Linked DNA regions of Lepisosteus oculatus. The protein of the gene in region 4 purifies or fractionates together with the protein of the main gene of each other region. This does not show direct contact. Links are inferred from orthologs where the notes say so. Each region holds a gene or a part of one and is shown on either strand. Other genes may lie near its edges. The genes, in order: cdk19, polr2g, cdk8 and med19b.

Region 1 (7,984 bases), on a different chromosome or scaffold from region 4:
CAGAATCGTGTTCGGCGCTAGTTTCACATTACATTGCTCAGGATGAAGAGAGGTGACAGATCAGAAGACATCACTCAGCCCATTTGAAAATGTGGATAAACATTACGAGTAATTAATAGATGCTGAACCCGTCTTGGGGCAGCACAGTAGTGCAGTGGTTAAAATTGCTGATTTGCAGCACTGGGGACCTGGGTTCAATTCCCAGGCTGCTATCTGCCTGTTGAGTCTATCCCAGCAAGCAACAGGCATAAGGCAGGATACACCCTGGAAGGGACGCCAATCATCTTCACTTAGTACAGGAATCGTACTTAGTTACAGTTCCTGCTGTCAAATATTTTACCCGTTCTCAATCATAGCAATGTACAATTTACATTCAGATATATGCTAACTTCAGGATTTTTTTTTTTACTACAAATATGAAAAAAAAGAAAAAGGAGCTTTATTCAACTCTAAAACCCTACAGCATTTTAACCATCATGGATTCATGTCTGCATTGTTTACATTCGAACTGTTTACTTGTCCATTGTCTGCTGTTTGTTTCTCTATTGTCTTGATGCACTGGCTGCACTTTGTGTTTTTACACTTGTTTTAACAATCGAGAGACTTTCTGTAAGTAAGAATCCCATTGTATCAGTACAGGTACCGGTTGACACTAATACCTATGTAAGACATGCAACCAGTCTTAAACAAAGCTGCAGCAAGTATCTACCTCTATAAAATAGGAATCCTGGGAGAAAAACACAGCAAGGTCAGTTTGCTCTCCGGTTCAACTCTCACTGCATTTTGCTCTCAACCCTGCTACCTGGTTTTAGACTCCCCTGTGCTTCCTTACAGGAGCCTAACTCACACCTCCTCAACAGACGCTTAAACAGCACTCAGCGATGCCTCCGGCTTGGTACTGACCGACACTATACACCAACAGATACACTTCAGGCTTCTGCACTGGCGTATGCATCTAAAGAGTGCTTGGAAAATAAGGAGAAATTTAAACCACACCATGAATTCAAACCGTTCTCTTCCCTGAGCAAGCAGGTTGGGAAGAAAAAGAAACTAACTGTAAACATAATAAACGTTTCAGACACCAGAAGAAAATATTAGGCACACACATACAGGTGCGACAGCCTTTTGTTAAGGGCAACAGTCATTTAAGCTCATTTGACCTAAACAGACGTGCCTTTTGACACCTCCTAGTGTGAACTTGGACTGAGAAGTTAGTCACTAACTGGGCCTGCATGGTCTTGGGGTGATCTAGACCTCACTGACAGGAAAGACCCATTGAGTAAACAACTGATTCAAAAGAGGTCGTGAAGAGTCCAGGGAGGAGGGCAAACCACTAGGAGGGGACAGCAGTGAAGCAGTAGGGGGTCTGATCTGTACGGACACTCTTTACATTTTCTCTTAAGACAATAAACCTTAAAACGAGAGGAATTCTGAAAAATAGCTTCCGACACGGTGCCGTGTACAAGGCAAACAGGCCGACGAAAGCTTCAACAATCGAGGTATCGGTTGAAACAAAATAAGAAAAGAACCCCGAAAGAGACGGGAATAGTTCAGGAGCTAACCGGGGCCTCGACGTGTAACGCCCCAGTTATGCACTTGACCCAAACAGTGTTTCGTACCGTCTCTTTCCGGGCGGCCTGCAGACAAAGTGTCGAAGCGGCAAACCCGGATTCAGAAACTGTGCACTGCCTGTGTCACGGTGCGGCGGCGGCAGAGTTTTGCTCACTTTCTGCCGCCCGAGACTTCACGGTGTTATTTATCCGGTTATTTTTTTTCGGCCAGCAAATGTTTATTTCGGTTATTCCAAGCAGAACCGGTACTTGATGACTGTGCACCCGTGAAACCAAATCGTGCTCCCGCTGCAACACAGTAACTCAAGTACCCGGTTGACCTCGATTTCCACGTGAATCTCAGACCGACTGAGCCAACCACTGAAATGTAACATTTACCCTGGGCTGACGAGCAACATCGCTGTGCCAAACCAACTTCCCAGTGAGGCTCCTTGATCACGTTTATTTCACATGTGTGCACCTATCGACTCGTGGGACCGCATTGAAATATGCAAGTTATGTGCCCGTCGCGCAGATAATTGCCTGACGACAGTGCTTTCAACTTCAACCGCTAGCTTAGAGGATGCACACTTGAAAACGTGGGGGGAGGGGGGGTTGAAGAAGACCATAACTTTCTAGTACATCTGTTTCCAGAAAAAAACAGCGTGACATTTCCAGCGCCGTGCACGCCTCAGCCTAACGCTACAATTCACTGATCGCCTGACCAGATTTCCAAGTTTTCAAGACGCCCCCGAGGACCTGCTCAGACCAAGGTGAATTGTTGTTCTGTAGGGGATAATTAAAGTGTGTTGTATGTCCATATTAAGCTACGTGCAATCCCCTTGACATGGAGTGACAGAAAATCAACATTTGGTGTGCATGTTACCGGGACAGGGTCCGAGCCGGAATGCATAACCCCCAGATCCAGTCGGAGAAGCCTGTGACTGTTTCAGCACCAGTCGGGGCAGCACATGCATGTAAAATGACCGGGTTTTAATCATCATAATGTCAGTTGTTTTTCTTACCCATCTTTGCGCTTGGCTTTATAAACATGCCCGTAGGTGCCTCGACCCACTTTGCAACCTTCATATTCAAACAGATCCTCCACTCTCTCCCTCTCGGCTGCAAGCTTCGTTTTGAAATCGTAATCCATTTTAACCCATAAATACTTCTTAATTTACAACAAAAATAAAATATTAATTATTAAATGTGTTAATTAAATAATCTAAGCGTTCAATTCCCCCATCATTTCCTTGTTTGGGATTTTGGTCTGCTCCGCTTAATGTTCACTGGCTCGTTGACGTTTCTGGGTGAGCGCGCTTTGCATTCTGGGGGTTGTGGTTTTCTTACCCACGGGGCCCGCGGACTACCCTAACGGAGCCCCCGCCGTCCCGAAACTACACTCCCCGCCAACCCCTTGCGGGCGGCGCGCCTGCGCAGTCGGGGTTTACAACCCCCCACAAAAATGCAGCAGCACGGGATCGGCGGCTAATGTTTCAATGTTTATCTCTACATATGTCCGTCTTCCGCGTCTAGTGGAAGGCTTGGAATGGGCGCATACGCGTATTTTAAAGGGGGTGGGTCTTCTGTCAGTGCCGCTGTGTGGCCGGTACCGTGAAAGTCGTCCTGTTTTCCCAGGCTCAGAAATGCCCCGCGATTATCTAATCGCGTGCGGATGCCGCCCCCCCAGTTTGTTATAAAACACCGTGACTTGGTTACTTCTGCGGAGAGGTCACCCCAAGAGCAGAAATCGCAATTGTGGGTTTTTTTTTTAAAAAAAACAAGAAAGAAGTCGGTGCTCCCGTTTCTTAGCCGGGCGTATAATAGTCGTGTGCATTTCACGTTAGATGTGTGTTCTGAATGGGACTGGTGACCCTTTGCCTTTTAATTCTGTGCATGTGGTAGTCTGTCGTAACATTACTCACAGTAGTACCTGCCCAAGAGGCACCGCACATCTAATTGGTCCAGAGCGTTGCACGTTAACATCTTGTCGGTGAAACACGTGTACTTGCGGGGAAGCCTATGGATGCAAAGATCTCACATGTACTCAGAACTGAACACCCCCCGATCTCGAGTTTCCGCGCTGCAGCGCGGCGGACTGTCGTTATGGTTTTCAATCCTTTGCCGTTTGTTTTCTCGAACTGGGGTCTGGGCCGGGGGCGGAAGTTCCGATCGGCGTGTGGCTGGTGAAAGCAGCAGTGACAGCAGATGTTTGAACTTACTGAGAACTGCTTGAAAACTTAAGGTCATGTTTTATAATTCAGCCGTTACACGTACAACGCGTATATTCCAATAGTCCATGAATTTAATTAATAACCTGGCTGCAGGACGCAAATCATTGTAAATTATAGTTTTAATGTGTATGGAGAACATCTCTGTTACTGTTTTTTTCTTGAGTTTTTTAGTACAGGTTAAATTCCTACAAATGCACCGTCATTCAGTGGTACTTATATACAGCTTTTCTCGTTTTCTAAACATCTGACGCCGTTTCCCAGACTCTATTTTGTTTGAAAACATCTCAATCTCTCAGTAACGTGCAGTATATCGTATTTTGTGTCAACAGCACGCCATGGCTTATAAAATTATCTGATAACACCAATTCATGGCCGCTCATTTTCAACAAAACATTTGCATTATAAACTCCAAAGTAACTGGAGTGTCATTGTGCTCTTCTATGTAAAGTGGTTTATCAGAAATTTTGCATATAACGTATAATATCTAACATATAACTTATAATGTCTCACCATATGGGATATAACATAACAGTGATTAAAAAGGTGCACGTGATGAGTCCAGTAGCTGGAACTACTGAAATAAATGCTGTTTTTACAATTCCTCGTATGTACGAACTGGAGATTTACAGTACAATCCATCCAGCAAATTCGAACGCTCTCCAGCGGCGTTTTCCAGAGAAAAGTTAATGGTCACAAAAAATAAGGCTGTGTTTCACACGTCGAATGAGATGTTATAGAACAAAACAAAACAGAGTGCAGACTTATGCGTGAAGACCAACTTGAAGATGAACCCCGCCAGACTTAATAACAATTTGAAAACAAAACCCCAACATACCTTTGCACCTACCTACCGAGGAAAAGGTTACTTTAATGGGCTAGGGTGCAATGCGTATCCCACCCGATTGCGTTGCATTCGCCCCAAGACCTAATAAGCAGATCTTGCACAAACCTTATGTCACTTTTGTGTCAAACGCTCGCAATAGGCCAGGCTTCCTCCTGAAAGCACACACTCAAACAGGCGGGGTATTAGGAACCTCTCAGCTGCCCCTCGCGTGTGCAAGGTAACTGTAGGCCGAGGCGGGCCCCTGTCGGGAGTTATTGGCACGGCGGGCAGCCAATGGGCGCGCCGCCCATGGGCTCGGAGGCGCCCGATTGGCCGCGGCCCGCTTGTGACGTCGCCAGGGAGGTAATAAAAGCACCGGGCGAGCGGCGCTCGCGGCTCTACACAGTATGGCCGGCGACATTAGCTAGCGCTCGCTAAACGGTATTCTCTGTCAAAGGGAAGACGGCAAAAAATCAAGCAAACGACACCTGGACTGCTTAAAAAAAACAACACAAGACTGAATTAACCATTTCATTAAGTTATCCGAACCTCGCCAGGATTAACGCAAATCTGAAAAATTACAGCCACCAAACCCCCCCACCACCACCACCCCGACGTGTAATTTGTAATTTCTGTTGTCGGTGTCTGTTGTCTCACGATGGAAGAGAACGGTGCACACTTCTTCGAGGGGACGGAGAAGCTGCTGGAGGTGTGGTTCTCCCGGCAGGACGAGAGCAAGGGGACAGGAGACCTCCGCAACATCCCCAGGTTGGTGCGGCCGGGCGGTCCCTCTCACGGCAGCCTTTGCCCTGCGCTCGGTTGTGCTCTTTTTAATCGCACCCCCCTCCTTGCAAAACGCGATCCCCTAAAAAAAAAAAACGGGGCCGATTGAGTCTTTTTTTTTTCATTTGTGGTGCGTGTGCGTATGTACGTGGGGAGACAGCGGGCGATCCGTTTTGCGTGGCGCCTTGAAGCCTCGCTGCCCCGGGTGCGTGTCGTGGGTCGGGTGTCGTGTCCGCGTCGCGGCGGCGGCCAGGGGAGAGCCGTGTGCTGCTGGCTCTGCACCGAGACCATCCCCCCCTTCTCACCCCCCCCCTCCCTCCCACGGCCCGAGCCTGTCCCCCGCTCGTCCTGCGGGGCTCGGCCGCTGCGGGTCGCCCGGGCTCGCCTTCCCCGGGGGGGTGGAGCCGGGCTCCCTCGCAGGGAGAGAGCCGGCGAAGGGGTCTCCAGCGATGCGTGTGCGTGCATGCGTGGGGGATCGCGGGTGGGTTTTCTGTGCGCAGTCACCGGTGCCCGCTGGTGATTTACTGCCACTGCAGGCCCGCTGCTCCCTCCCTCCCCCAGTTGGAGGGGGGGGGCGAGAGAGTGGTCTGGGCTGTGACAGACGGCGGTGCCACGGGAAAGAAAAGTGGCGAGTCAGGGGTGGGGGGAGAGAACGCACGGGCTTCACACGTGGGGGCAGTCGAGTGAATGCAATTGGGCGCACGGGCAAAACGTGGCTCCCCCCACGGGCTGCGTGGAGCCGACTGTCGGCGGATCCATCCCTTGTCGGAGGGGGCCCGGGAATGCGGCCGGGCCGGTCCCCCCCCGTGGCGGAGCGGTGCTTGCGGCCGCGGTGACTTACCTCCCCGCTCCCGGGGGCAGTCCTGCGGGCGCGATCGGGCCGCCCCTCTCCGCTCCGCCGGGTGCGCCCTTCAATCATCGCGGGCGGCTCTGAAAGGCACACCCCCACCCACCCCACCCCCTCCGTGTGCAAGAGGGCGGGTCGCGACAGACGCTTCCACGCGAGGGGGCACATGGCTCGCCCCGAGCACGCTTCGGGGGGGGCGAGAAAAGAGTTTGCTTTAGATTTGTGTGTTTTTTTTTCTTTTCTCTCTGGTCTCCTCGCACTCTCGGCTAGTGGCGAGCAGCAGGTGGTTCTCGGACTGACAGTGTGTTATTTTATAGCGTATTTTGCAGAGGACTCTAAAGCACTTTGCATACAGGAGGGGCCCAGTCCAGCCACCCTCAGGGGATGGGTGTAGTAGAAGAGCCGTCTAAGGAAATCCAGTCTTTGATTTCAGGAGTGCAGCCTCCAGGCAGCGAAAGGGTGAGCGTTAATCCCATACCCAGCCCGCCAGGCTCTGCTCGGCGTTTCTGTGAGCACCAGGGGGGTTGCACAGGGGGTCGCCCGGACCCGTCGCCAGGCTGGGCACTGGCGCCTCACCAGCTGGTCTTCTCCCTTTCCAGTGTGTCTTCAGAGCCAGAAAAGGGCCTTTAAAGTAGGGTGCAAAACCCGAGTGTTTTTCTGCTCGCCTGTTGTGCAGTGCAGTGCAGGCCTCCTGTTTGTCATGAGTGTTTGTCACCGGCGCGCTGAGGCCCGAGCGATCCGCGACTGTGCCGGTCTGCAGCCGGCCTCCCCTGCTCATTGGCTCCTCCGGTTCCTGAAATGCCACCGTGTTATTTATAGCCTCTGTGGAGGCTGGAATGAGGAAACGGCCCGAGTGTCCCTGGCCTTTTTTAGCTCTCCGTGGTTTACCCTGCAGTGCTCTCAAGGAAGGCTAGTGGCGTAACATGCGCTAGTGTGCAGTCAGGGGCGAACGTGTACAGCACAGACCTGAACAAAGTTAGACAGCACAGTGGAAGGAGTTATAAGGGAGGTGAGTCTGCTTCCTCCCTTTTAACGCTGTATTGGAAGCTCTTCCATTACCGTTGAAACTGTTAACGTTTCTGCTGCACTGAAGAATTTAGACATTTGACCTTGTTGAACCCCAGTATAAGCTTGATTGGAATTGCACATATATTCATGCGTCTTGAGAACATCTGCCGCTGCTTCGGCATTTTTTCTCCTTCACACAAACTGAACAAATCCAGCTTTCTGGATGATGGATAGAAGTGGTTTTTTTCTTCAGAATAAAATAGGCATCCCCCTACAGTATAAAAAACCCTTAGGACTTATGTGGATTTCTGCATGAATGGCTACTAAAATGTGATCTAATCTACATCTCAGTCAGAATAAATAAAGCCAGTCTTATTTGACAAACACACATTTTACATTGCCATCTCTTTATTGAACAAATGGTTTAAACAATCAAGGTCATTGATGGAAAAAGTATGTGAACCCTTATATTAAGTAATGAGGGGAACCTTCTTTATTGGCAGTAACCTCAACCCAACACTTTCTGTAGCTGCTGATCAGACCTGCACAGCGGTTGGGAGGTATTTTGGCTCCTTCCTCTACACAAAACTGTTCCACTTCATGTATATTTCCGCGATGAGTGCTTGAACGGCCTGCTTCAGATCACGCCACAGCAGCTCGGTGAGATTGAGGTCAGGACTCTGACTTGGCCTTTCTGAAATCCGGAACGTCTTCTGCTGGAGCCACTCTGTTGTTGATT
Region 2 (7,534 bases), on a different chromosome or scaffold from region 4:
AAGAACCTGCTGAGTCACCTGCAGGGGCAGGGGCAGCCAGAGAACGCAGCTCTCTCGGCCCGCAGTCTGGGGAGAGCTGCACCCCCAGACTGGTTCGTGCTCCGGAACCGTGACACCCTGACCCCCCCCCCCCGCAGGGGCCGCAGAGTTGGGGCGCAGCTTCTCGTGGGGGTGCTGCGCTGTCGGGGTTCGTGTGGGGGAGGTGGGGGTTGATGCCAGACACTTATAAAAATAGATCTCTTCTCTTCTCCAGTTTCCTCTGCAGCAGGATCAGCTGACCAGGCCTGGAGAGAGACGGAGAGAGAGCGATCATTCCTTCATTCAAGCAACAGTGAGGTTCATCTTTAAAGGCCAAAACACTCCTGTTACACTGGGGGCTCCAGTCCAGTAGGACAGTCTGTTACACTGGGGGCTCCAGTCCAGTAGGACAGTCTGTTACACTGGGGCTCCAGTCCAGTAGGACAGTCCTGGTACACTGGGGGCTCCAGTCCAATAGGACAGTCCTGGTACACTGGGGGCTCCAGTCCAATAGGACAGTCCTGGTACACTGGGGGCTCCAGTCCAATAGGACAGTCCTGGTACACTAGGGGCTCCAGTCCAATAGGACAGTCCTGGTACACTGGGGGCTCCAGTCCAGTAGGACAGTCCTGGTACACTGGGGGCTCCAGTCCAGTAGGACAGTCTGTTACACTGGGGCTCCAGTCCAGTAGGACAGTCTGTTACACTGGGGGCTCCAGTCCAGTAGGACAGTCTGTTACACTGGGGGCTCCAGTCCAGTAGGACAGTCCTGGTACACTGGGGGCTCCAGTCCCGGTCCAGTAGGACAGTCCTGTTACACTGGGGGCTCCGGTCCAGTAGGACAGTCCTGTTACACTGGGGGCTCCAGTTCAGTAGGACAGTCTGGTACACTGGGGGCTGCAATCCCAGTCCAGTGACACTAGGGGGCGACAGTGACAGACAGCACACAATGCTGCAACACTAGTGGCTGGAATGACTGACTGAAGGACTCACCCAGATAATCATCCATCAGGGATCCAATTGCAAACTGAAAGAGAAAAACAACATGAGGGAGGGAGTTACCGGGAGCACGAGAGATGGGGGGGAGGGGTGAGAGAGAGAGAGAGACACTCACGATGTCGTTCTTGTCCACTCTCGTCCCCACAATCTTCAGCCGGATCTCGTCGTCCTGCTGGATCACGATGTCCTGCACGGGACAGACAGACAGACCGACCAGCGGCGGGGAGTCAGAAGCTCTGCAATAGCGGGCAGCGAGAGAGAGGGGGGGGCGGCGCCTCTCCTTGTTAAACCCAAGCCCAGACTCACCTCGTCCACCGTCTTGTAGCAGGGAGGGTTGGAGTTCGGGTCGAATTCCATCTCTGAAGGAATGGACTGTGAACACAAGAGCAACAGTTACCGTCCTGCAGCGCCGGAGGGAGAGCTGGGACAGACTTCCAAGTCGCAGCAGAGAGGGAAACAGGAAGCAGGGCCGAGCATCGGGACTAGAGAGGAAGAGGGGTCCGGTACTCACGTGACGAGAGATGAAACACGACATTGGTCCAATTTCTGTGAACAGCCCCACCTAGGAGATGGAGAGACGGGTTGTCAGGAGGCCGTCAGGAGGGTAGAAAAGAGGACAGAGAGAGAGAGACAGGCCATTAGGACGATTGAAGAGAGCAGAGAGAGAGAGACAGGCCATTAGGACGATTGAAGAGAGCAGAGAGAGAGAGACAGGCCATTAGGACGATTGAAGAAAGGGGAGAGAGACAGGCCATTAGGACGATTGAAGAGAGCAGAGAGAGAGAGACAGGTGATTAGGAAGGTAGGAAAGGAGAGATGGATGAGAAGGGGAGAGAGAGACAGGCCATCAGGAGGTCTCCATGCTCTGTCCTGACCTTGTTGACCTGAGTGACCACAGCATCCACCACCTCTCCCTTGAAGGGTCGGAACACGATGGCCTTGTACTTGACCGGGTACAGCACGAAGCCCCTGCCAGGCTGGATCACGCCGGCGCCGATGTTGTCGATGGTGGTCACAGCGATCACAAAGCCATACCTGCCACAGAGACAGAGAGAGGGGGCCGTCAGCACCTGCGCCGCAGGGAAGACCTGGAGCGGAGCGGAGCGGACTGCAGCGATCCCGCTCACTCACTTGCCCGTGCAGGTGCCCTCCACCTCCGTGAACAGCTTCTGCTTCACCGTGTTCAGCAGGTTGGGGCCGAAGTACCGGGGGTGGAGCAGGATCTCGTGTTCCAGGGAGATCTGGGAGGGAGGCAGGCGTTACAGAGCGGGAGACCAGGGCACCTGCCCACTTTTTAAAAATAATTGTTGCACGGCTCTTCCACAAGACGGTCAAACAAGGACGCGACATCACCTCAGCAGGTGCTGGAGGAGGCAGTGATTAATCCTCTAAACCTCTGGTGTGAGGTGCGCCAGCTGCACCATGTGACCAGCGCTTAGCAAGTTCCTTGTATTTACACCGCACTTTCCCCAGGAGTCTCCCCAGACAGGAGAGACCCAATTCACCGCCAGCTGGGAGACACATAGCGGATCAGGAGGATAGAGAAACTCATAAGCAGGTTCGGTGAAATGAAGCATTCCCATTTCTATTTCTAAAAATAAAACCTTTCACATTGAAACGTTTGTCGACAGGCAAGAATGGAGACGCGTTCACTTGCGCACACTTAAATATGTTTATTTCTGTCAGTCCTGCTATAAAATATTCCGGCAAAGACGAACTTTGCACTTTAAAAATGAAATATGAATATTCTTGCGTTTCTGAGCCCAGCGTTCTCCCCCAGTCAGAGCCGCCAGGCTACGTGACCGCGGAAATTAACGATTCAGCTACTTACGTGATAAAACATCGTGTCCCACTTCCACAAGGAGAACCCCTTTAAACCCAATTTAATTACACAAATACGAATATAAATAAAGCAACAACGCTACAACACGAATGAAGCGCCGACGCTCACTCCGCCTTTCCGTTTCCGTCTCAGCATTTCTACGTCATCCGAGGGGGCGGTGCTAACACTGGAGTCCTGGAGCGCTTTCACGTTAGTCTACATAGAGGGCCCATCTAGGGAAATATGTTATGCCTTATTTCTTCAGTTTATGTATTACCCACAAACGACTAAAGCCGTAAAACGTAGAGCATTATCAAGGCTCATGTGAGCAAGTATAATTAACGCGTCAGATGGGTAGAACTGTAGGCGTCTGAGGCTGACCTGAGCCCTCTGTCCACAGGCCTGGCTCTCAGGTCAGGCAGTGAGAGGGTGGGTTCCGTCACCGACCCCAGGGCCACCCCAGCCTCCACCGTTCCTGTTCACTCTCCACAGCCACACCGTCTTTCCGAGTACTGAAGGCAACTTTATTTAAAAAAGGCTTTACATGGCTTTGATAGGTGTGTGCATACAAGAACCATCATATACACATATCATTTGGCAACAGAAAATATAAAAATAATTTAAGAAGGATGCAAGGCAAAATAAGATCAGCGAGGACGCTGCTATATTCTTGTAGAGGCTTCATTATGGCTTTGATCCACTACCCAGGCAGAAGCATTCACACCGTAAAATAATCCTAAACCCATTCCTAAAAAAATAAAAATCAACATCGAACAAAGCTCTCACTTCAAACACGCTGCGGTACGAACATCTACAGCTGCAGCTCACTCAGCATTTCAGAACAGATTAGATCAAAATCAACCCCCCCACCCAGGCAATTTCTTTTATTACTGAAACCCTCCCCCATGCCCACCTCCCTCAAGGTGGAGAGAGAACAGCGCAGCCCGACCCGACCCGACCCGACCCGAGCCAGTCCAGGGCCTCGTCTGCGAGGGAGGACTGGTCCAGTCAGAGGGAGCCTGGGACACACACACTGACTATCCATCCTTAGGACCTCGTGGCCCAAAGAGTGTGTGTCCCAGACTCCCTCTGACAGAAGCTCCACACACACGGCTATCAAGCGCGCCCCCTGGTGTCCACTCTCGCTGACAAGGACTCCAGCGTCTCTCCTCCGTTTCAACTTCAGGCTTTGGCTGTGTGGCTTTGGCAGCGCAGGAAGCTGCTGCAAGCAGACGAGCGACGGTGCCCCCCCTGCCCCCCAGCTGGGCGGGGCTATGCGCTTTCCCGTGCTCCGCAGAGGTGGGCGGGCTCCGAGGAGAGGGGCTGAGCGAAGCCGGAGTCCCAGTCCCTCTCGAACACGGCCTGCAGGTCACTCTGGACGCTGCGCTTGCCTGCCCCGGCTGGAGCCCCCGTCTGGTTCACCACCAGCCCCACGCCCGCCGTGTGGGTGAAGTAATTCTCCGACCAGTTGGATGTCCCTACGCGAGGGGGGTAGGGGGGAGAGAACGGGGCACCGTCAGTGTGGTACAAGGCTGAGCGTGACGAAATGAAAAGTTGAGAGGCTGGCCTGCAGGGGGGGGAGGGGGGGGCAAGGCTAAGAAAGGGCAGGGCTGTGATAGGGCCAGCCTACGGGGGGGAGGGGTTAAGTGAGGCTTGGCTCAGGGCAGGGCTGTGATAGGCCAGTCAGCCTCAGGGTGGGGCGGGGCTCAGCGAGGCAAGGCACTGCTTACCTATGTACGCGACTCTGTCCGTCACCATGTACTTAGCGTGGTTCACCCTGGCGTAGGGGATCATCTTCTGCTCCTCGGTGGAGGGCACCTCGAACACTTTCTACAGAGACAGAGGACAGGACGAGCACGGTGAGGCCCCGGCCGGGGAGGGGGAAGACCGCTCGGACAGCGGGAGAGAGAGAGAGAGAGAGAGAGAGAGAGAGAGAGAGAGAGAGAGAGAGAGAGAGAGAGAGAGAGAGAGAGAGAGAGAGAGAGGACTGACCACGTGCAGCCGGCAGCTCAGGGGCGGGTGGTTCGGCACGCCGAGCGACTCCAGGAAGACGAACATGGGCTGGTCGGAGTGCGGCCAGCAGCTGACCAGCAGCCGCACCTCCACGCCACGCGCGCACGCCGCCGCCCGCAGCGCTGAGTCGATGGGCGGCCAGAACTGGGCCGGCTCAGTGTACTGGGAGGCCGGCAGGAAGTCCATGACCGAGACGTAGACGAAGCGGCGGGCGTCCGAGATCACGCCCAGGATGGCCGAGAGGTCGTCCGTGCGGCCGTCCGCGGACAGCGGCGGGGGAGCGCTCTGCGGGGGAGTGGGCGGGCAGAGAGTCAGGAGCAGCATGCACACAAATTCAGTCACGCACGAGCGCTGTCCGACGGCCGGCCCTCACCGACAGGTAGACCTGCGCCGGGAGCCCGTTCAGCTGCAGCTGCAGGGGGCGCTGTGCGCTGGACAGAGCGCTGAGGCGGCGGGGCCAGCGCGCGGGCACTGCGCCCCCTGCTGGAGAGCCCAGGAGCCAGTACGCCTGGAACAGCCGGGACACGTCTCTGGCCAGGCAGCTGCAGTTCGTCACCGAGACGGCCAGCTCCTTCACCTGCGGGAGAGCAGACGGCCAGTTACAGAGCCGGTCTCCTGCAGGGGGGCGGGCAGGCCATGAGCCGGAAGGGAGGCACCTGTGTGAGGGAGCGCCAGTCCATGTTGGCACTGCCCAGGTAGGCGTGCTGGCCGTCCACCTCCCAGAGCTTGGTGTGCAGGATCCCCCCGGTCAGGTTCTGCAGGTAGACCGGGCGCACCTCCGCGCCTGCGCACACAGAGAGGGAGAGGGAGGGACAGGGATCAGACTCGCGCAGCCTTCCCCCAGGGGCTGTGAGCAGGCTTGGGGGTGGGGTGCGGGGTGCGGCCTCCTACCTGCGAGCGCAAGGTCGTCCGTGTCCCTGGGGTACGTCTGGGGGCTGTTGACGGCGATCCTGAGGCCCACCCCTCGAGCTGGCAGGCCCCTCAGAGCCTCGAACACACGCTTCCCCTGCGCCGCACACACACAAGGGACAGCTCATTAACCTTCTGCCCACATGACTAGTGCAGCTGAAAGTCTTTCTTTCTCTCCAGTGCTCCGAGCGTCCGAGCCCTCTCCCTGCCTGCCCTCCAGCGCTCCGAGCCCTCTCCCTGACTCACCTCCAGTGCTCCGAGCCCTCTCCCTGCCTGCCCTCCAGCGCTCCGAGCCCTCTCCCTGACTCACCTCCAGTGCTCCGAGCCCTCTCCCTGCCTGCCCTCCAGCGCTCCGAGCCCTCTCCCTGACTCACCTCCAGTGCTCCGAGCCCTCTCCCTGACTCCCCTCCAGTGCTCCGAGCCCTCTCCCTGACTCCCCTCCAGTGCTCCGAGCCCTCTCCCTGACTCACCTCCAGTGCTCCGAGCCCTCTCCCTGCCTGCCCTCCAGTGCTCCGAGCCCTCTCCCTGACTCCCCTCCAGTGCTCCGAGCCCTCTCCCTGCCTGCCCTCCAGTGCTCCGAGCCCTCTCCCTTCTCCCCTCCAGTGCTCCAAGCCCTCTCCCTGACTCACCTCCAGTGCGCTGGGCTCGGAGGCCTCCAGGTCGGTGTCCCTCAGTGTGAGGTAGAAGGCTGCGATGCTGACGCTGTGGTTGGCTCTGTGCAGCAGGTCTCTCCAGGCCTGGGAGATGGGGGTCAGGCGGGGGGAGCCAGGGGGGTACTCCAGCCCCTCAGGGAGGCTCTCCAGCAGGGACAGGCTGCACCAGGAGGGACAGAGACTGACACGTTCCAATCTGCTGATTTCAGTATCAGCGGCAGCACGATCTTCGATATTTTTAACGGATTTACAATTATACTGCGTACAACGGCGACTGGGACTCTGTGGCCTTCCAGATAAATGCCATATCAGGTCATTAGCACAGTAGCACAGACTTTCCACACACGCAGCAAGAGTCACCCAATTCTCTGACAGCACCCAGGTCTGGATCCGCAGAGAAACAAGGGCCACAGGCACGTCTTCACACAGAGAGTGGTGGGGGTGGGGAGCAAGCAGGATCCCTGGGATGTGGAGGCAGCGCCCGCGCGTCCCTACCTGCAGTCGGAGCCGCAGGCCTCCTGCCGTGCCCACAGGTCCCCGGCCCACAGCCAGTCCAGGTCCAGCGGCGCCAGCAGGGCGCCGGCCAGCCCCGGCCTCCCAGAGGGCCACAGGAACAGGCCGCCCCCCCCCAGCAGGAGCAGCAGGGGGGGGAGGAGGCAGAGCAGGGTGGAGCAGTAGCGCCGCAGCTGCAGGGAGGGAGAGAGCAGGCCGGTCAGCCCCTGCTGAGAACCAGTCTGCTGCAGGGAGGGAGAGAGCAGGCCGGTCAGCAGCTGGGCTGGTCCTCTCCCGCCCAGCCGAGAGCCCGCGGCCTTCAGCAGAGCTACAGCTATTCCAGGTAAAGGATCTAGTTGCCCATTTGGACAGCTTCAAAGATTGCTCAAAGGGGAAAGCAACCCCAGCCCCGCCCTGGCCTGAGGGAGGTCAAGCACACAGCTCGGCGGTCCCCGAGTGGCCGAGGAATCAGAACACCCACAGGAGCACTCACCCTGCCTCGGGGCCCGGGCCGGCCCGCTCCCTCCTGCCTCGCCTCCCTCCCTCCGGCCGCTCGTCTGCCTCTGGGATTGAGGGCGGGTTTCTCGCTCCGGGCTCCCACCTCAAAGACCACCGCCTCTCGCTCAGC
Region 3 (7,923 bases), on a different chromosome or scaffold from region 4:
TGCACACACCTATGTATTTATTTTTATTTATCTTGTTTGTCTTTTGTTTTATAACTATTCTGATGTCTGTTTTGCTTGTCCTGGGCTGGACTGCTGTAACACATCAATTTCCCTACGGGATCAATAAAGTCTCATCTATCTATCTACTCCATAGGGGCCCCCGAGCACGGCCCTTCACCCCGAGCGCTCCAGGGCTGCGCCATATAAACGGCCGACCCTGCGCTCCAATCCTGAGCTTCTCTCTCCCTGTCTGTGTGTCTCAAGGAGAGCAAGCTGGGGTCTGCGAAAAGACGAACTCCTAATGCAAGAAACTGTATCGGGCCAGTGAAGCGACCTCATCTGATCTCCCAGCAAGCGCAGCCTCAAACCCCCGCCCAGCAGGGGGCAGTGTCACCGGGCCAGGCAGGGGGACCCGCGTACCTGGCGTGCCCAGGAGGTTGCTGTCCCTCATGAGGCGGTACTCGTCCTCGCTCAGCCCGTCGATGAACTGGTAGTACGCCTCCTCGCGGCGCAGCCTCTCCTCCTGCCGCCGCCGCTCGTCCCGCCCGCCGGGCGCCGCAGGGCTGGGAGGGTCCATCGCCACGGAAACCGCTCCGGCTGCCTGAAGGAGGAGGGGGGGGGAGTTTACCGGGAGAACACACTCCGTGAGGCTGGCGAGCGAAACAAACAGCAGGGTTTCGGGGCTTTCCTCTGCACTATTAACTTTTAACTTTGCATCCATTCGTTCAAATTCATTCGAAACCTGGAACCCGAGAACATCATATCCGGCCCGCAGACGGCCTGTCCACAGTCTCCCGCTGCACGTATATAATGAGAAAACCGTTATCACTGCCGCACAACATTTTGACAAAAGCAGTAATGGGGGGAAATAAATCCACAAAGCACCGCATGAGGAAAACCTCAAATTGCCTGGCATCTGTCAGAAAGCAATAGTCTGGCGACATGAAACATGACAGCAGTGTCAGCAGTCAGCAGCGTACAGGCTCTGAATACCCTGTGGGCCTGAAGAATCGAAACCGGGAGTCCTGTACCTCCAGGACTGCAACATGACACAGCTCAAGCCCTTGGTGCACTCTGTGGGCAGAAAGCAGGTGGGGCTGGCTGCTCAAATTGGACAAAAACTCCTAGCAAAACAATATGCAGAGTATTGTGCAGATTTCAGTTTTCAGTACAGCTGCTGTGAGGGCTATAAGCTGTAAGCTGTCAGACTCTCGCTATGTTTGGATCCACTGGAAATATTACTGACTGTACTTGTGTTGCTTTTATGATTCATTACAACTTACACCTTTAAAATGACGTTTGCTTCATCTGAATCCTTATGCCCGTTTATGCACTACGAGGAAACAACCTTGAAATAACCAAGAAAAAGTGCTGTCTCCAGTAGCATAAACTGGGAGTGTATCTGTTAGGATAACAAAAACACAGTCCATTCACACGGGGCTGTTCATGTCTCAGTCACTATCCAGAAACGTCTATCCCAATGAAAAATGACCGTATCAACCACTGAGACCAGAATATAATTCCTTATCACATATACCATCTTAAACTCCAACAAAGTTTCACTGCGGAGCTGTTGGTACACAGAAATAAACATCTGTTAGGCATGATCTCTGCATTTGTCTAAAAGGCTCTGCGACGAAAATATGTTTTTTTATCTCCCCAGCAGAGCCAGCAAATGGAAGGAACAGTCTAAAAAAATTTTCAATTAAAAACAACCTGGTGCAGAAAGCTGCTTTCTCATTTTTTTAAGAGTACACGGAAGATACGTGCTCTCCGTAGCAACGCGCGATTAGGCGCCCACTCTAAAATTTAAGGTTAAACAAAAATAGAAGCCAAACACAGTATCATGAAGTGAAATGTAAAATCAGTGCATAAAATGGTTTATACAGAGCGAAGATGGGCCTTCGTAAAAAATACACTAACCCTAGATACAAATACTACAAGCCTTACAGGGCTCCCTACCAATCAGTGGGCCCAGACCCGTATATTGACAGACGAAACGCCCAAACAGCTGAGCGGGGAGGCGGGACAAACAGAAAACAAAAAAAAAATGAGAGTCGGGCCCCGGATATTTCATCGCGAAGAAGACACAAAAGACAGCGTCGGTCTCCCGAAATCCCCGCAAAATACGCCTCGGATTCCCTTTGAAAAAAACCCCAGCCCCGCCGCCGGTGCTGTTCTGTCTTGCGGACGTGCGTGTCCATGCAAACAAACGCGTAACCTATACAGTGAGATTGCGTTGCCTCACCACCGCCGTGTAGACCGTTTCAGTGCTCGCGATACACAAAATGGCACCGCAAAGAGAGCAGACGCTCCGTCCAGGGAAGACGGCACACGTACAAGGAGAACCGCTGCCGTGACAAGACAGCTCGGGCACACTTCAGTACCTGAAACCCTCAGCTGAAATATGGACGGGTCCTCTTCCCTTCCCCTGCTGTCCGGGATACAGTGTAAGATGGGAACACCAGTGCAGCACCCAATACAGTCCTACCTGCAACAAGCGACGAGATACATTGCACCCCCCCCTCCAGGAGACATGTACAGTACACTAGGCTTTCTTTTTTAGACTCACGTTTTGTACATATGTTCCTTTAACGCCTCAATTAAAATCGTGTCATGGATTTAAAAGTAAACCTTTCGATTTATCTCCATACTCTTGAATACCAGTGTCGCCCCCTCCCCCCCCTTCTGTTCTAGTCTGTTCTTTGTGTGTCCAGACTGTGAGTAACTCTTGTATTGTATTGTATGTATTGTACTATTATTATATTATTTGTTACACTGTGGCTGTGTTGTCTGTGTTAAGCTTTATTTATTGTTGTAGTCTTCTTATTTATTGTTATTGTCATCCTGTAAAGCGCTTTGAGAAGCCACCTTTAAAGGCGCTATATAAAATAAAGTTTATTTTTATTATTATTATTATTATTATAAGCTGCTGTTGCACTGCAATTTCCCTCACGGGATCAATAAAGTATCTATCTATGTAGCGTATTCCCTATTGGAACACGATACTGCACCGTTTTCCGATTCGCACAGCATTTACTGGTAAATACCATGGCGGAATCTGCAAGTCATACAAAAGACACCTGAAGAAGGCCCCACGGCCGAAACGTTGTGTTTTCTTTCTTCTCTTTTCAGCATGGAATACGCGCATTACCTGTTCCTTTCTATTCGTATAACATCCATCCATCCATTTTCTAACCCCTTTTAACAGTACAGGGTCACAAGTGAGCTGGGGTCAAGGTGGGATACACACTGCATGGGACCGCAGTCCGTCACAGAGCACACCGACACTCCAGGGCCGATCTTCCCAGAAGCCAACTAGCCCACCAGCGTGTCTTTGGACCGTGGGAGAACATACACACTCCATGCAGACAGCACCCCAGGGATTGAACCCTGGACCCCTGCGCTGCGATGCTAACCAGTTCCTGCAGATGGTGCGTTTTTTTTCCCCCCACCCAGTTAAAAGCCTGTATCAAACTTCTGTGGGAAATGTCCTTGTGACCCAGCGTCTTTTCCTGGAGAAACAGCCACAAGTGGCAAATCATGTCAGTGCATCATTTGTGTTTTCCATTTTGTACCTTGTGTTTTAAGGTTAGTTTGCCCTGCTCCATTCTAGGCCTGGAATGTATTGATGTTTGCATACTTGAAAGTACAGATGCCTCTTGTATGTGTACCACGGCCATTGATGTTTAAGTGTAGTATAATAATGGAGGTCCAACAAAGAGTCCTTAATTTATATACCCCCCTCCATCCAAAATTGCTTTACAGACAGGAGGGGTCTCCCCTTAGTCACCACTGAAGGGCAGCTTGTGTGACCGAGCATGTGGCCATTCTGGACCAGGAACCCCACTGCACAGCAGATCGGCGAGGCGGAGGAGGACTGAGAAACCGCTTCTTCAGTTGAACTGAAGGGGGAAGTTAAGGTTAAATCCAGGAATTTAGCCTCGATTACCGATTTAAAGACCTTACTCTTCAGAAGAGCAACATGGGATCTTTAAACTTTATTATACAGCGAAGTTCTTCGCTCCTTGCACGACTTTCACGCAAGACACGCAGGGCAACCACTATCGTGACTTGGGCGCGTCTCCAATACTCCAGGACCCCGACGACACCCTTAAATGTCTCACACACCAGTGCCACACACGCCCCGCGAGAGCTGGGGGAAAAGACATCTGGCAGAGCATCTGGTGACAACTGGCAGAACTGGGGAAAAAAAGAAGTCTCATGTCTGTAAACGACTGTCCTCGCAATCGTCTATAACTGGATATTAACATGAGATTCGACCTTTTTTTCTTACTGAACGTTGCCGGAACAAAACCTGATGCTCTTCACGTCTAGCATGGTCACTCAAGCGAAATTCCAGTAGAGGGAGCTCTAGAGTTTCGGAGCTCATCTTTGTACATATATATACACTGCAATATCTGTTTACAAAACGGCCAATCTCCTTTTTTTGTTTGTTTTTGTTGCTCTGACGTTAAAATATACCCCCCCCAAAAAATAAAAATTTAGGTTTCGTGACGTTCAGTCTAAACCCAGTCTGGTTACTTCACAACTGTGGAAAAAGACAGCCCAAAAAACAAAAGAAACCCGAAGAGTTGGCTTAGCGCGTGTTTTTTAAACGCCCGGCGCGATAACGTGATTTACGAAGGTCGGAAAACACACGTTTCCTCTGCCGCTGGTCCACGCAGCGGAGCTCCTCTTGACAACAGCGACGGTTTCGCTGCGGAAGGGCCGGGGGGTTAAAATCCACGTGGTGCGCCGCACAGAAGCGCACGTCTCCCTTTCCAGACGGTCCTTTATTTTAAAGCCTGGCTTGGCGACGCTTTGCGACATTGCCGTGCGCTGATGCCCAGCTCCTGCGAGCAGATACCGGCAGAGAGGCGCAGCTGCAGAAAGCGAGAGAGAGAGAGAGAGAGGGAAGCAAGCAGAAGCGGTGTCGGTGTCGGTGTCGGTGCAGCAGGAGCCCAGACGCTGCAGAAAATCGTGCATCTCTCCGCCACACGCACAGCCGGTACATGCCGCATCTCGGCCCGGCGAGGGGGCAGCGCTAGGGGGGGGGGGGAAGATCGATAGATACGTAGAGCCCAGGTGCGAAGAGAGGGGCTGCTTCCCAGGCGGCGCTTGGGGGAAAAAAAAGGCGAGGAAAATGGACTATGATTTCAAAGTGAAGCTGACTGGGGAGAGAGAGCGAGTCGAGGACCTGTTTGAATACGAGGGCTGCAAAGTTGGAAGGGGCACTTACGGACATGTGTACAAGGCGAAGAGGAAAGATGGGTGAGTCGGCAGGCCTGCCGGGCTGGCCCCGGGTGAAAATAAAGCGCACACTTTCTTCGCGGCTCTTTGGTTCATTTTAGTTGTGTTGCTGTTGTTGGTGGTGGTGGTGGTGTTGCCTCTATTGTTTGAGATCCCAGAGACGGTGGTGTTGTTGTTGTTGTTGTTGTTGTCGTCCTGCTGGATAACGCAACCCGAATAGAAAAGAGACATGCTCAGTAACACAGTACCAGCTCCATGAGATGTGGCTGTTTTTGTCTCTTTAACTGGAGAGGGACAAAGCTGCCCGGACTGTCACACCAAACCCCCCCCAGTCCGTGCCAACCAAAGATAACTGGATAGGTGCCGTGTGCTGCTGTTTTTGCTAAATCGTTGCTCTTCTTAACTGGTGTTACGAATTTGCACCGCCTGGCTGTTGCACTGTTTTCTGATTAGAACTACAGTGGCGGCGTCCCCCGTAATAGACCGAGCCCGTTTGCAGAAAACGTCCTGAAAAAATACATTGTCGAGGAGGTGTTTACGTTGTAAATCCTCAGCTTGGGATGGTGGGATTCGGGAAACCGATTTGCCGAAGAGCGACGTTCCCATATCAGAGTAACCTCTCGTTTATGGGGGGGAGGGGGGGTGAATTTCAGGTTTTCTTTCCTCTTCCGAGTCTCCACGACGATGGTGTTATTCACTTTTATTCGCCCCCCTTTTGCAATAAACGCGAACACGAGGCACTTGCAAACAAACCGACATTTCTCGGAGGGTTCTGCGTTTGTCGGAGCTGTGTCTTCCTGCGGACAGCTCTGCGCGTCGAAGTCTGCGGTCACTGCTTTAAATCGCTCGCATCAACCCGAATAGCAACTCGCAAGAGATGCTCCATACATCTTGAGGGGCGGTTCAGTTTTTTTTTTTTAATATATATATAGCAGTTACATGAGACGAAGAAGAAGTTCCGCTTGCCCCTGGAGCTCAAGGTGAAGGACATCCTTCAGCTGCCTGGAGAGACGTGAAAGCTGACCCCGGGTTGCTGTCCTTTTCAACAGGAATTTATTAATAGTCCCAAGAGTGCACAGGTGCTTCTCTGCCACTGGCTGTATCGGTGTGAGCGTCCTTCTTTCTCTGAGTGCACACGTGACACACGCACTGTGTGTGAGCAATGGAGGGCACGCGGTAGCCACCACTCCTGTGTTTTGGCACCTTAGAAAAGAGTTTGAACTGCGGTTCTGGACTTGCCTGTCCACAGACAGAAGCCAGGCTTGGTCCCAGTATCTCTTGGGGGCACAATACACGGCTCTCCTCCCCAACAAGTCAGGGTCACTGCCAGGCAAGATGGGGGGGGACCACAGGCAGGGGGGATGAGTTTAATGTCCTGTCCTCAATTAAGAAGAAGGGACCAAAACAAAAACTGCATTTAAGTTGGCGGATGGAAGGGGTCATTCATCCCCCTCTCGAGTGAAGCCGCGCCGCTAATGAGCAGTGACATCCAGCCTGGTGTTGATGCGTGTCAGCTCTGACTGTCGGGACAGAAGGCACTCGAATATGGGTCATCTCCTGCAGTTGTCCGCCCCGAACTCCCAGCACCAAAACGCAGGGGAATCTTACAGTGTGGAGCGGCGGGCAGGGCTCTGGACTCCTCACTGGAAGCTGTGGGTCCACCACTCTCATGCGGGTTCACATCTCGGGTGGGACAGTGCTGTTGTACCTTTCCACGAGATGCTTCAGTCACATGCCCTGCTTCGTGTGTGTCTACTGATTAAACCCCTTTGGATAAAAGCCCTGGCTGACTCGGTTGATGGCACGTCTCTGTGTGTGCATCAGCTCTTTGTGGCAGAAGAGCTGTGTTACACCCCCCCAAGCAGGAAAGGGTGTGTGTGTGTGTGTGTGTGTGTGTGTGTGTGTGTGTGGTGCAAAAGTGGTTGTTGGACCAGCGGTTGGACAGCCTGTCTCTTTTCGCTGGGTGTGTGCTGTTGAGATTTTATGATGTATCTGAGCCTCCTCTTGACAGCACAGTGCCAAACCCTGCTGGTCTGCAGACACTATAACGAGAACGCGCCGCACTGCGGCGATCCCTTAAACGAGAAGGGTCCTTCTCAGTTCCTGGGGGTTTTCCTGCTTGAGAAAGTGTTGCTGTTGCCGTCTCTGAAAGAGGCCTGCAGAAACGAGCGCGATGTCACTTTCTTTTTTGCGAGCTGACCAGATTGCGGCAGCGGGAGTTTTAATAAAAGAAACACGCCTCGCAATCCAATTGATCAACACGCTCTTTTACAAGTGACCCTCCCAGAAAAAGATGCTGCTTTTAGGTCTTTGTCTCTGTGAGCCACGTGCTGTGAGACGCGGCCCAGACTGCCCGAGGTGTTGTGTTCATGATGCCGGTGCTGTTAGTTGGTTTATTCGTAGTTCCAGTGCCTCCGCAGAGTCCAGACGCGTCTGAAGCTGCAGGGCTGAGATGGTCTGTCCTGCAAAAGTCCAGCCACAGCACGAGCAGCTGCTTTCAGCAGCTCTGTGGAGCCACCCCGGGCTGCTCAGTGGAAGAACACGAGGAGACTCTCGCGCAATGCGCAGCATGTCAGCTGCTCGCTGTGGTTAGCCTCAGCAGCCAGATATCTCACACCTTCTCCATGTCCATTAAAGGCCTTTTGCATGGGAGAATCCCTGTCCCAGAAG
Region 4 (7,819 bases):
ACTAGACGAAACAGCACAAAGAACAACATGTAGCAGAGTTAGTGTTGGTAGGTCTCCCATCATCAACATCTTTGCTGGATTAATGCCAACAACCACAATACTGTATATGCTATAATAGTAGGCGCTGTGAGCAGCATAATCAACTCGGAAGTGGAAGGTTGAGGGTTCGAATCCCAAGTGAGACGCTGTTGAGCCAGGTGCTTCACCTGAACTGCTCCAGTAAGATACACAGCAGTAAAATGGCGGCAAATAGAAGTCTCTTAGCATAAAAAACATAAGCCATATATATTACTTAGTAATAATTCCTGGAGTGATTATTCACAGCGTACAGGTCCACTGACTTGCTCCAGTTTAATAAGGATTATTGAACTGCAGTTCCCCCACCCTGCCTGTACAGAGTGAGGGGACGCTCTAGAGTATTAGAACCGGCAGTACCTACAGTAGCTATCTGACTGACCTATGCACAAAGTGAGGTACAGCAAGCCCATCCTGATGTCCAGTCTGAAGAACAGGATGACGTTGGCCACCTTACTGAACAGGAAGATGTTCCCCACGTGCTGCTCCACAGTGACTGGAGAAGAGAAAGGGTTTTAAACACAGTTAACAGGTTTAACTGCAAGTGTATAGCATATTATACCTACACACATTATACACTATATACCACGTGTATGCCCCTGCTGACACTGAATGAATGTGTATTTCAAGTGTGTGCACAGCCCAAATGTAAGAACACAGGCATTCAAAACAATTATTAGGAGGCCATGACTAGTAAGGGCCAGGGGAAAATCTGGCCAGGACGCCGGGGTAACACCCCTACTCTTTTCAAGAAACACCCCGCGGTTTTTAATGACCACAGAGAGTCAGAACCTCCGTTTTACTTCTCATCCTCTGCACTAAATGTGTATAAAGACCAGTAGTCAGGACATTGGGGTTAATGCCCCTACTCTCACTGACAGTGTCCTGGGTCTGTAATGACCAGCAGTCAGGACACCGGGGTAACACCCCTACTCTTTTCAGTCAGGACACTGGGGTCAACATCTGAATGACAGCATGTCCTACAGCATAGTGCTCCTGTTCCCCATTCTGAGGCTTGGCTTGAAAACTCTGGTCTAGAGGGAAGGGCGCCACCTACCGGTTGCCCACTGGCCATCAGTACATTATTTGGGGTTTGCATGCATCAGGACAGGGGTGTCAGACTCACTTCCTTGAGGGCCTGATGCCTTCTGGTTTTCCTACCAACCAGATAGGATGTTCCTTAAGCTGAATAATCAGCTTTTAAACAATACACTTCATTAAAGGGACAGTTCATTACAAACACCTCAGAGCCAGGCTCCACATGTTACACTTCAGCAGTTTGTGAAAGAATCAGACCCACTGCGCGCCTGAGCGCTCAGGCTGCTAGAAAGCCGGACGCGCCCGGAGCCGAGACGAGCGCCCCTGTGCGACTGGAGTGTCTTACTGGCTCTCCGGTTCTTCATCATCACGATGGCACTGAGGAACATGAGGATCTCCACTTCCCTCTGGGGGTAGAGCACACAGCACGTCAGGGCGACAGGGACAGCACACTGACACGCACCAGCCCACAGCAGCCATTGCTACCACTACCAATCGCAACACAACCAACACCCAACAGACTGCTCAGAGGGGTACGGCACACGGCACACTCTCCCACAGCACCCCACACTCACCCACGGCACCTCACATTCTCCCACTGCTCCCCACACTCTCCCACACCCACCCACGGCACCTCACATTCTCCCACTGCTCCCCACACTCCCTCCCACCCCCACCTGCACCCTCCCGCAGCTCCTCACCCTACATCACCCCAGGCCAGTGGCCGCCCTCAGCCCCCTCTCCCCCTGTGTGTACAGTAAACACATCAGGGCCAACGGACACACCAGCTGCCTGCTGCCCCAGTGCTGTGTGCAAAACAGTACAGGGGTCTCCAGCCCTGGGCCTTGAGAGATCCTGTCCAGTTAGTCCAGGGGTCCCGAGCACTGGGCCTTGAGAGATCCTGTCCAGTTAGTCCAGGGGTCCCGAGCACTGGGCCTTGAGAGATCCTGTCCAGTTAGTCCAGGGGTCCCAAGCACTGGGCCTTGAGAGATCCTGTCCAGTTAGTACAGGGGTCCCGAGCACTGGTCCTGGAGAGATCCTGTCCAGTTAGTCCAGGGGTCCCGAGCACTGGGCCTGGAGAGATCCTGTCCAGTTAGTACAGGGGTCCCGAGCACTGGTCCTGGAGAGATCCTGTCCAGTTAGTACAGGGGTCCCGAGCACTGGTCCTGGAGAGATCCTGTCCAGTTAGTCCAGGGGTCCCGAGCACTGGGCCTGGAGAGATCCTGTCCAGTTAGTACAGGGGTCCCGAGCACTGGGCCTGGAGAGACCCGGTCCAGTTGGTACAGGGTTCCCACCCCTGGCCCTGGACAGACCCGGTCCAGTTAGTTCAGGGTCCCCAGCCCTGGTTCTCCTCGTCCTCTCCAACACTCTCCCTGTCCTAACAGTCCCCTCGCCCTCTGTCTCCCCACTTGCCCTATGACCAACACCTGAGCTCACTGGCGAGTGTCTCTCTCTACCAGCCGGTCAGTCGCGGAGGTACCGGCCTGCTCTAAAATCACAACCCTGGACTCACCCAGTCGAAATCGCAGGAGTTGCCGTCCTCTCTGGTGGTAGACAAGTGCTCACAGATCCCCGGCGTCTTTCGCACCAGCAAGAAAATCACCGACAAAAACACTGACGCCACATAATACGGCTTGAGCAGCCACTTGTACACCCGGGGAAGGTGATACAGAAACGCCAGGAGGGGAGTAAGTAACGCCATTTTTATAACTCTCAAACAAGAGTGCCACTATATATATGCGGCGGATTGCTGGTGCAGACGAACATGCACACAGAGGTCTGTCCGCCGACAAATAATAACAGTCTGCGGTCGCAGGGAAGATTTAAAGGGGAAGTGAAGAGAGGTCACTGCGGACAAACAACAGACATAAAGCCACGCCTCTTGCGTAATCGGATTGGTTAGCTGTGGAGACATCTTGGATATTATTGGATATTACAGCTGTCACTCTTCTTTGCAAAGGGATAGGACTTTTTCGGTTGATCGGGCATTGTGACATACACTGTAAGGCCCTTGTAAAAGGGAAGTTTTTGAATGAGCTTTATTGATACGTAAAATTAGCCTTTTATTGTACCGTAAAGATGAGAAACTGTACGCCTCTAAATTTGGTGTCGGCTGTTAACATAAACAGTCAAATGAACACAAAAGCTTAAACCTAAATAAACAATTCTATACACTTATATACGAGTATTATTAGTGTCCAGAAAAGCGCTATATAATAATGCGCATTATAATAATAATGTATGATTATTGTTATTATATAGCACTTTTCTGGACACTCCACTCAGAGCTCTTTACGGGTAATGAGGATCCCTACCAGCACCAGTGTGCAGCCCCACCTAGATGATGCTCCAGTCTGCTCACACACACCAGCTCTCAGTGTGGAGGAGAGCAGAGTGATGAAGCCAGTTCAGAGATGGGGATTATAAGGAGGCCATGACTGATAAAGGCCAAGGGGAAATCTGGCCAGGACACCGGGGTAACACCCCTACTCTTTTTGAGTTTTTGTGATGACCACAGAGAGTCAGGACCTGAAGGACACCGCCTTTTTACAGTGTAGTGACCCCGCCATTATACTGGGGCATTAGAACCCACACAGACTGCAGGGTGAGCGCCCCCTGCTGGCCCCACTAACACCTCTTCCAGCAGCAACCTTAGGTTTCCCAGGAGTCTCCCCTCCAGGTACTGACCAGGCTCACACCTGCTGAGCTCCAGGGGGCTCCAGGGGGCTGCCAGCTGGGAGCCGCAGGTGCTGGTGTTTTGACACATAGTCAAAATACATGGTTTGACACCTACTGTCAAAATACCAAATAAGAAGTGTTATACACAAAAATACCAAAGAAATTACTGTAAAAAACAAAAGGCGATTCAGACATGACCGCAGCTCTGTGCTGAGACAGAGAAAGGGAAAGTGGCTGAGTCCCTGAGGGAGCACTGCGGTTCGGGCAGCAATGGAGGAGAACGAGGAGAAGGAACAGCTGAGTGACCAGCAGGACAGGAGATGGGTGGGTGGGCAGTAGGACAAAACCTTCACAAATCAATTCTGTTTGTGTGACACCTGTGACCCTTTCCACAAAGTGGTGAGAGTGTCAAACAACAGTCTAGCTGTTGAAGCCGATACAGTAACGTCTTGCAAGACACAGCTGGATGTAATCCTCCAGTTAGGAGAGGAGACGCTCCTTTACACAAAGGGTGGTGGGAGTGTGGAGCAAGCACCCCAGCCGCGTTGTTGTTGAAGCCAGTGCAGTGACAGCACTGGAGGAGATCCTCCAATCAGGACGGGAGCTTCTTCTTTACACAAAGGGGGGTGGGAGTTAAGAAACAGCTGGATGAGATCCTTGGATCAGTTGTCCACCTAGTGCCAAACAGGATAGACGGGGCAGATGGACTACTCTCAGCTGTTTAAGAATATTACATTTCTCCATAATGGATAATAGTGAAGAATACAGGTACTTAAGTGGAAGAACAACGCCATTAATAATATTCGCCTGCTCACTGATGTGACACTGAATTTAGACCGGTGATTCCTAAATGCTAATTAATTATACAGTATTTAAATAAAAACGAGAATGCGTCACTAAACGTCTGCACCATTGTAATTGCGTCTGGTGTGCAAATTTGATCTGAATCATGCAACAGCGGTTCACTGCTTCATTTTGAGTCTCCTATATATGAAGAAAGACGGTAGCGCCCAGTTTGCTTTGTCGTACGGAAGCTCACGGATTCAGAGCAAAACAACGCGAAGCACGGTGCGGTGGTTTGGTAGTATTTGTGTTAAAATTGCCAAGATTTATTTATTTTTTTTATTTCTTAAAATTAACATTTTTCTGCATCGATGACGGAAATTTTCTCTTTGTTTGGACAAAGCGACTCTCAAGGTCCCCCCGGCTCCTCGACGCTGGGCTACGGGCCGGGTAAACAGCCGGGGCCGCCACCCCAGAATCAGGTGTCCATGGCGGTACAGATGCCACCACAGCTCGGGGATGAGGGGCCTCCTCTTCGGAAGCCCGCAGCGATGAATGAGCCTTTTTATTTACTTCGGGAACTTCCAGGTAAACAGACTGCGCTCGCCCACATAGTCATCTTCGATAAGACTTTGCGTTATAGACGAGGAAGTAAAATATTCAGTATCATTCAATAGTTTCTTTTTTAAGTCGGTAAAAGTATTCAGAGATGTATTGTACAGGGCACAGCAGTGCAGAGCTTGAGAGGATGAATATAGTGTCCGAACTGTGCTTGAAACTAAATACGTCTCGTTGCTGTTCCGTTTCAGTTGTAACTTTGTGTGCTATTGTCCTGTAAGTTAGTGTATTAATCCCTCTCTCAGTGCACTGTTAATGTACTATAGTGTTCAGTCAGTGTGTCTGCACTGTATTAACCCCTCTCTCTCAGTGCAGTGTTAATGTACTGGAGTGTCCAGTCAGTGTGTCTGGACTGTATTAACCCCTCTCTCTCAGTGCAGTGTTAATGTCCTGGAGTGTCCAGTCAGTGTGTCTGGACTGTATTAACCCCTCTCTCTCAGTGCAGTGTTAATGTCCTGTAGTGTCCAGTCAGTGTGTCTGGACTGTATTGACCCCTCTCTCTCAGTGCAGTGTTAATGTCCTGTAGTGTCCAGTCAGTGTGTCTGGACTGTATTAACCCCTCTCTCTCAGTGCAGTGTTCATGTCCTGTAGTGTCCAGTCAGTGTGTCTGGACTGTATTAACCCCTCTCTCTCAGTGCAGTGTTAATGTCCTGTAGTGTCCAGTCAGTGTGTCTGGACTGTATTAACCCCTCTCTCTCAGTGCAGTGTTCATGTCCTGTAGTGTCCAGTCAGTGTGTCTGGACTGTATTAACCCCTCTCTCTCAGTGCAGTGTTAATGTCCTGTAGTGTCCAGTCAGTGTGTCTGTACTGTATTAACCCATCTCTCTCAGTGCAGTGTTAATGTCCTGTAGTGTCCAGTCAGTGGGTCTGGACTGTATTAACCCCTCTCTCTCAGTGCAGTGTTAATGTCCTGTAGTGTCCAGTCAGTGGGTCTGGACTGTATTAACCCCTCTCTCTCAGTGCAGTGTTAATGTCCTGTAGTGTCCAGTCAGTGGGTCTGGACTGTATTAACCCCTCTCTCTCAGTGCAGTGTTAATGTCCTGTAGTGTCCAGTCAGTGTGTCTGGACTGTATTAACCCCTCTCTCTCAGTGCAGTGTTAATGTACTGTAGTGTCCAGTCAGTGTGTCTGGACTGTATTAACCCCTCTCTCTCAGTGCAGTGTTAATGTCCTGTAGTGTCCAGTCAGTGTGTCTGGACTGTATTAACCCCTCTCTCTCAGTGCAGTGTTCATGTACTGTAGTGTGCAGTCAGGCAGTGTTCCTGTAGTTTCTAATACAGCTATTATCTTTTGCCCTTCTTTCAGTGGGGAATGAACTGACTGGGAACACTAACCTGATCACCCATTATAACCTGGAGCACGCCTACAACAAGTTCTGTGGGAAGAAGTTGAAGGAGAAGCTCAGCAATTTCCTGCCTGAGTTGCCTGGTAAGACGTGGCTGGGGTTACATCACTCTTGCTGTCTTGCCTGTCCTTTCCTCTGTCTCTCTGCTCTCGGTTCAGGCCGAGAGACTCTCCGGACGTCACCATGTGCACAGCATCCTCCCTCAGTCATGGCAGAAAACTGGAGTATTTCAGTACATGTAGGCGAAGAGAGGCGTATTACAGATGAGTAATTATGTCCTATTTATTACTATTGTCATGGGTAAAATCCACTAGTTTTGCCTTTTAAATTGAGGTTACACAGTGGAAAACCCCACGGTGCTGTTCTGGACGCCTCGTCCCCTGCTGGCTGAAGAGCCCCTGATTTTGGAAATGTTTCTTTCCCGTCGTGCTTCCTTGAAACCGCATTACAACGTCTTCCCAGCCCTGGAGAGACATCTTGACAACTTCAGTGTGAGAAAGAACAAGCGCTGCAATTAAATCTGCTGACTGGCAGGAGCAATCTGTCCAGTTTTGGATAATAATGATTCCTGACACTTAAACAGCGCTGTTATGGACACTTGGTTCAAAGCGCTTTATAGATAATGAGGATCCCCTCCACCACCACCAGTCTGCTCACCACACACCAGCTCTCAGTGGGGGGGAGAGCAGAGTGATGAAGCCAGTTCAGAGATGGGGATTATTAGGAGGCCATGATGGGTAAAGGCCAGGGGGAAATTTGGCCAGGACACTGGGTAACACCCCTACTCTTTTCAAGAAACACCCTGGGACATTTAATGACCACAGAGAGTCAGGACCTCGGTTTTACATCTCACCCGAAGGACAGCGCCTGTTTACAATCTAGCGTCCCCGTCACTATACTGGGGCATGAGGACCCACACAGACTGCAGGGTGAGCGCCCCCTGCTGGCCCCACTAACACCTCTTCCAGCAGCAGCCTTAGCTTTCCCAGGAGTCTCCCCTCCAGGTACTGACCAGGCTCCCTACTGCTGGGCTCCAGGGGGCTGCCAGCTGGAAGCTGCAGGGTGATATGGCTGCTGTCCATTATACTGTGTGCCCTCCCTGTGCGGTCAGATATCCGTCTCTTGTATGGCATGCCGGAGGAGGCAGGTGTCTGAGCTTTCCAAGAGACTGGTCCGCCAAGCGCATTGAGCGCCAGAGGGTACCAGTCTGAGGGGATCTGATGCTGCAGGATGAGGGCCGGGATGTTTCAGGTGTCAGGAGAGGCTGACACCCCTCTCTCTC

Evidence for each region.
Region 1: the proteins of med19b (region 4) and cdk19 purify together in Homo sapiens (affinity purification with mass spectrometry; 7 studies listed by BioGRID and IntAct, counting the BioPlex papers as one, with this or other methods). This does not show direct contact. The link is inferred for Lepisosteus oculatus from reciprocal best matches to the Homo sapiens genes MED19 and CDK19.
Region 2: the proteins of med19b (region 4) and polr2g purify together in Homo sapiens (affinity purification with mass spectrometry; 3 studies listed by BioGRID and IntAct, with this or other methods). This does not show direct contact. The link is inferred for Lepisosteus oculatus from reciprocal best matches to the Homo sapiens genes MED19 and POLR2G.
Region 3: the proteins of med19b (region 4) and cdk8 purify together in Homo sapiens (affinity purification with mass spectrometry; 8 studies listed by BioGRID and IntAct, counting the BioPlex papers as one, with this or other methods). This does not show direct contact. The link is inferred for Lepisosteus oculatus from reciprocal best matches to the Homo sapiens genes MED19 and CDK8.

The regions. Positions count from the first base shown.
Region 1 is NC_090697.1:5,170,492-5,178,475, forward strand, and holds the start of cdk19 (cyclin-dependent kinase 19), read right to left. Parts: upstream 3,007-7,984; 5' UTR 2,704-3,006; coding exon 2,576-2,703; intron 1,956-2,575; exon of another isoform or gene 1,727-1,955; intron 1-1,726. Other genes in the region: amd1 (S-adenosylmethionine decarboxylase proenzyme), read left to right, coding at 5,266-5,375.
Region 2 is NC_090713.1:22,714,147-22,721,680, reverse strand, and holds the start of polr2g (DNA-directed RNA polymerase II subunit RPB7), read right to left. Parts: upstream 3,004-7,534; 5' UTR 2,861-3,003; coding exon 2,849-2,860; intron 2,259-2,848; coding exon 2,149-2,258; intron 2,053-2,148; coding exon 1,893-2,052; intron 1,580-1,892; coding exon 1,529-1,579; intron 1,390-1,528; coding exon 1,324-1,389; intron 1,205-1,323; coding exon 1,133-1,204; intron 1,046-1,132; coding exon 1,012-1,045; intron 285-1,011; coding exon 271-284; 3' UTR 1-270. Other genes in the region: pld7 (5'-3' exonuclease PLD4), read right to left, coding at 4,112-4,317, 4,570-4,669, 4,832-5,137, 5,226-5,429, 5,509-5,636, 5,744-5,858, 6,391-6,574, 6,910-7,151 and 1 more. UniProt on the Homo sapiens protein: Core component of RNA polymerase II (Pol II), a DNA-dependent RNA polymerase which synthesizes mRNA precursors and many functional non-coding RNAs using the four ribonucleoside triphosphates as substrates.
Region 3 is NC_090700.1:5,395,252-5,403,174, forward strand, and holds the start of cdk8 (cyclin-dependent kinase 8), read left to right. Parts: upstream 1-4,920; 5' UTR 4,921-5,146; coding exon 5,147-5,274; intron 5,275-7,923. Other genes in the region: E3 ubiquitin-protein ligase RNF6, read right to left, coding at 421-601, 4,663-4,833.
Region 4 is NC_090701.1:41,770,528-41,778,346, reverse strand, and holds the start of med19b (mediator of RNA polymerase II transcription subunit 19-B), read left to right. Parts: upstream 1-4,815; 5' UTR 4,816-4,946; coding exon 4,947-5,163; intron 5,164-6,497; coding exon 6,498-6,620; intron 6,621-7,819. Other genes in the region: tmx2b (thioredoxin-related transmembrane protein 2-B), read right to left, coding at 1-1, 458-571, 1,460-1,520, 2,627-2,815. UniProt on the Homo sapiens protein: Component of the Mediator complex, a coactivator involved in the regulated transcription of nearly all RNA polymerase II-dependent genes.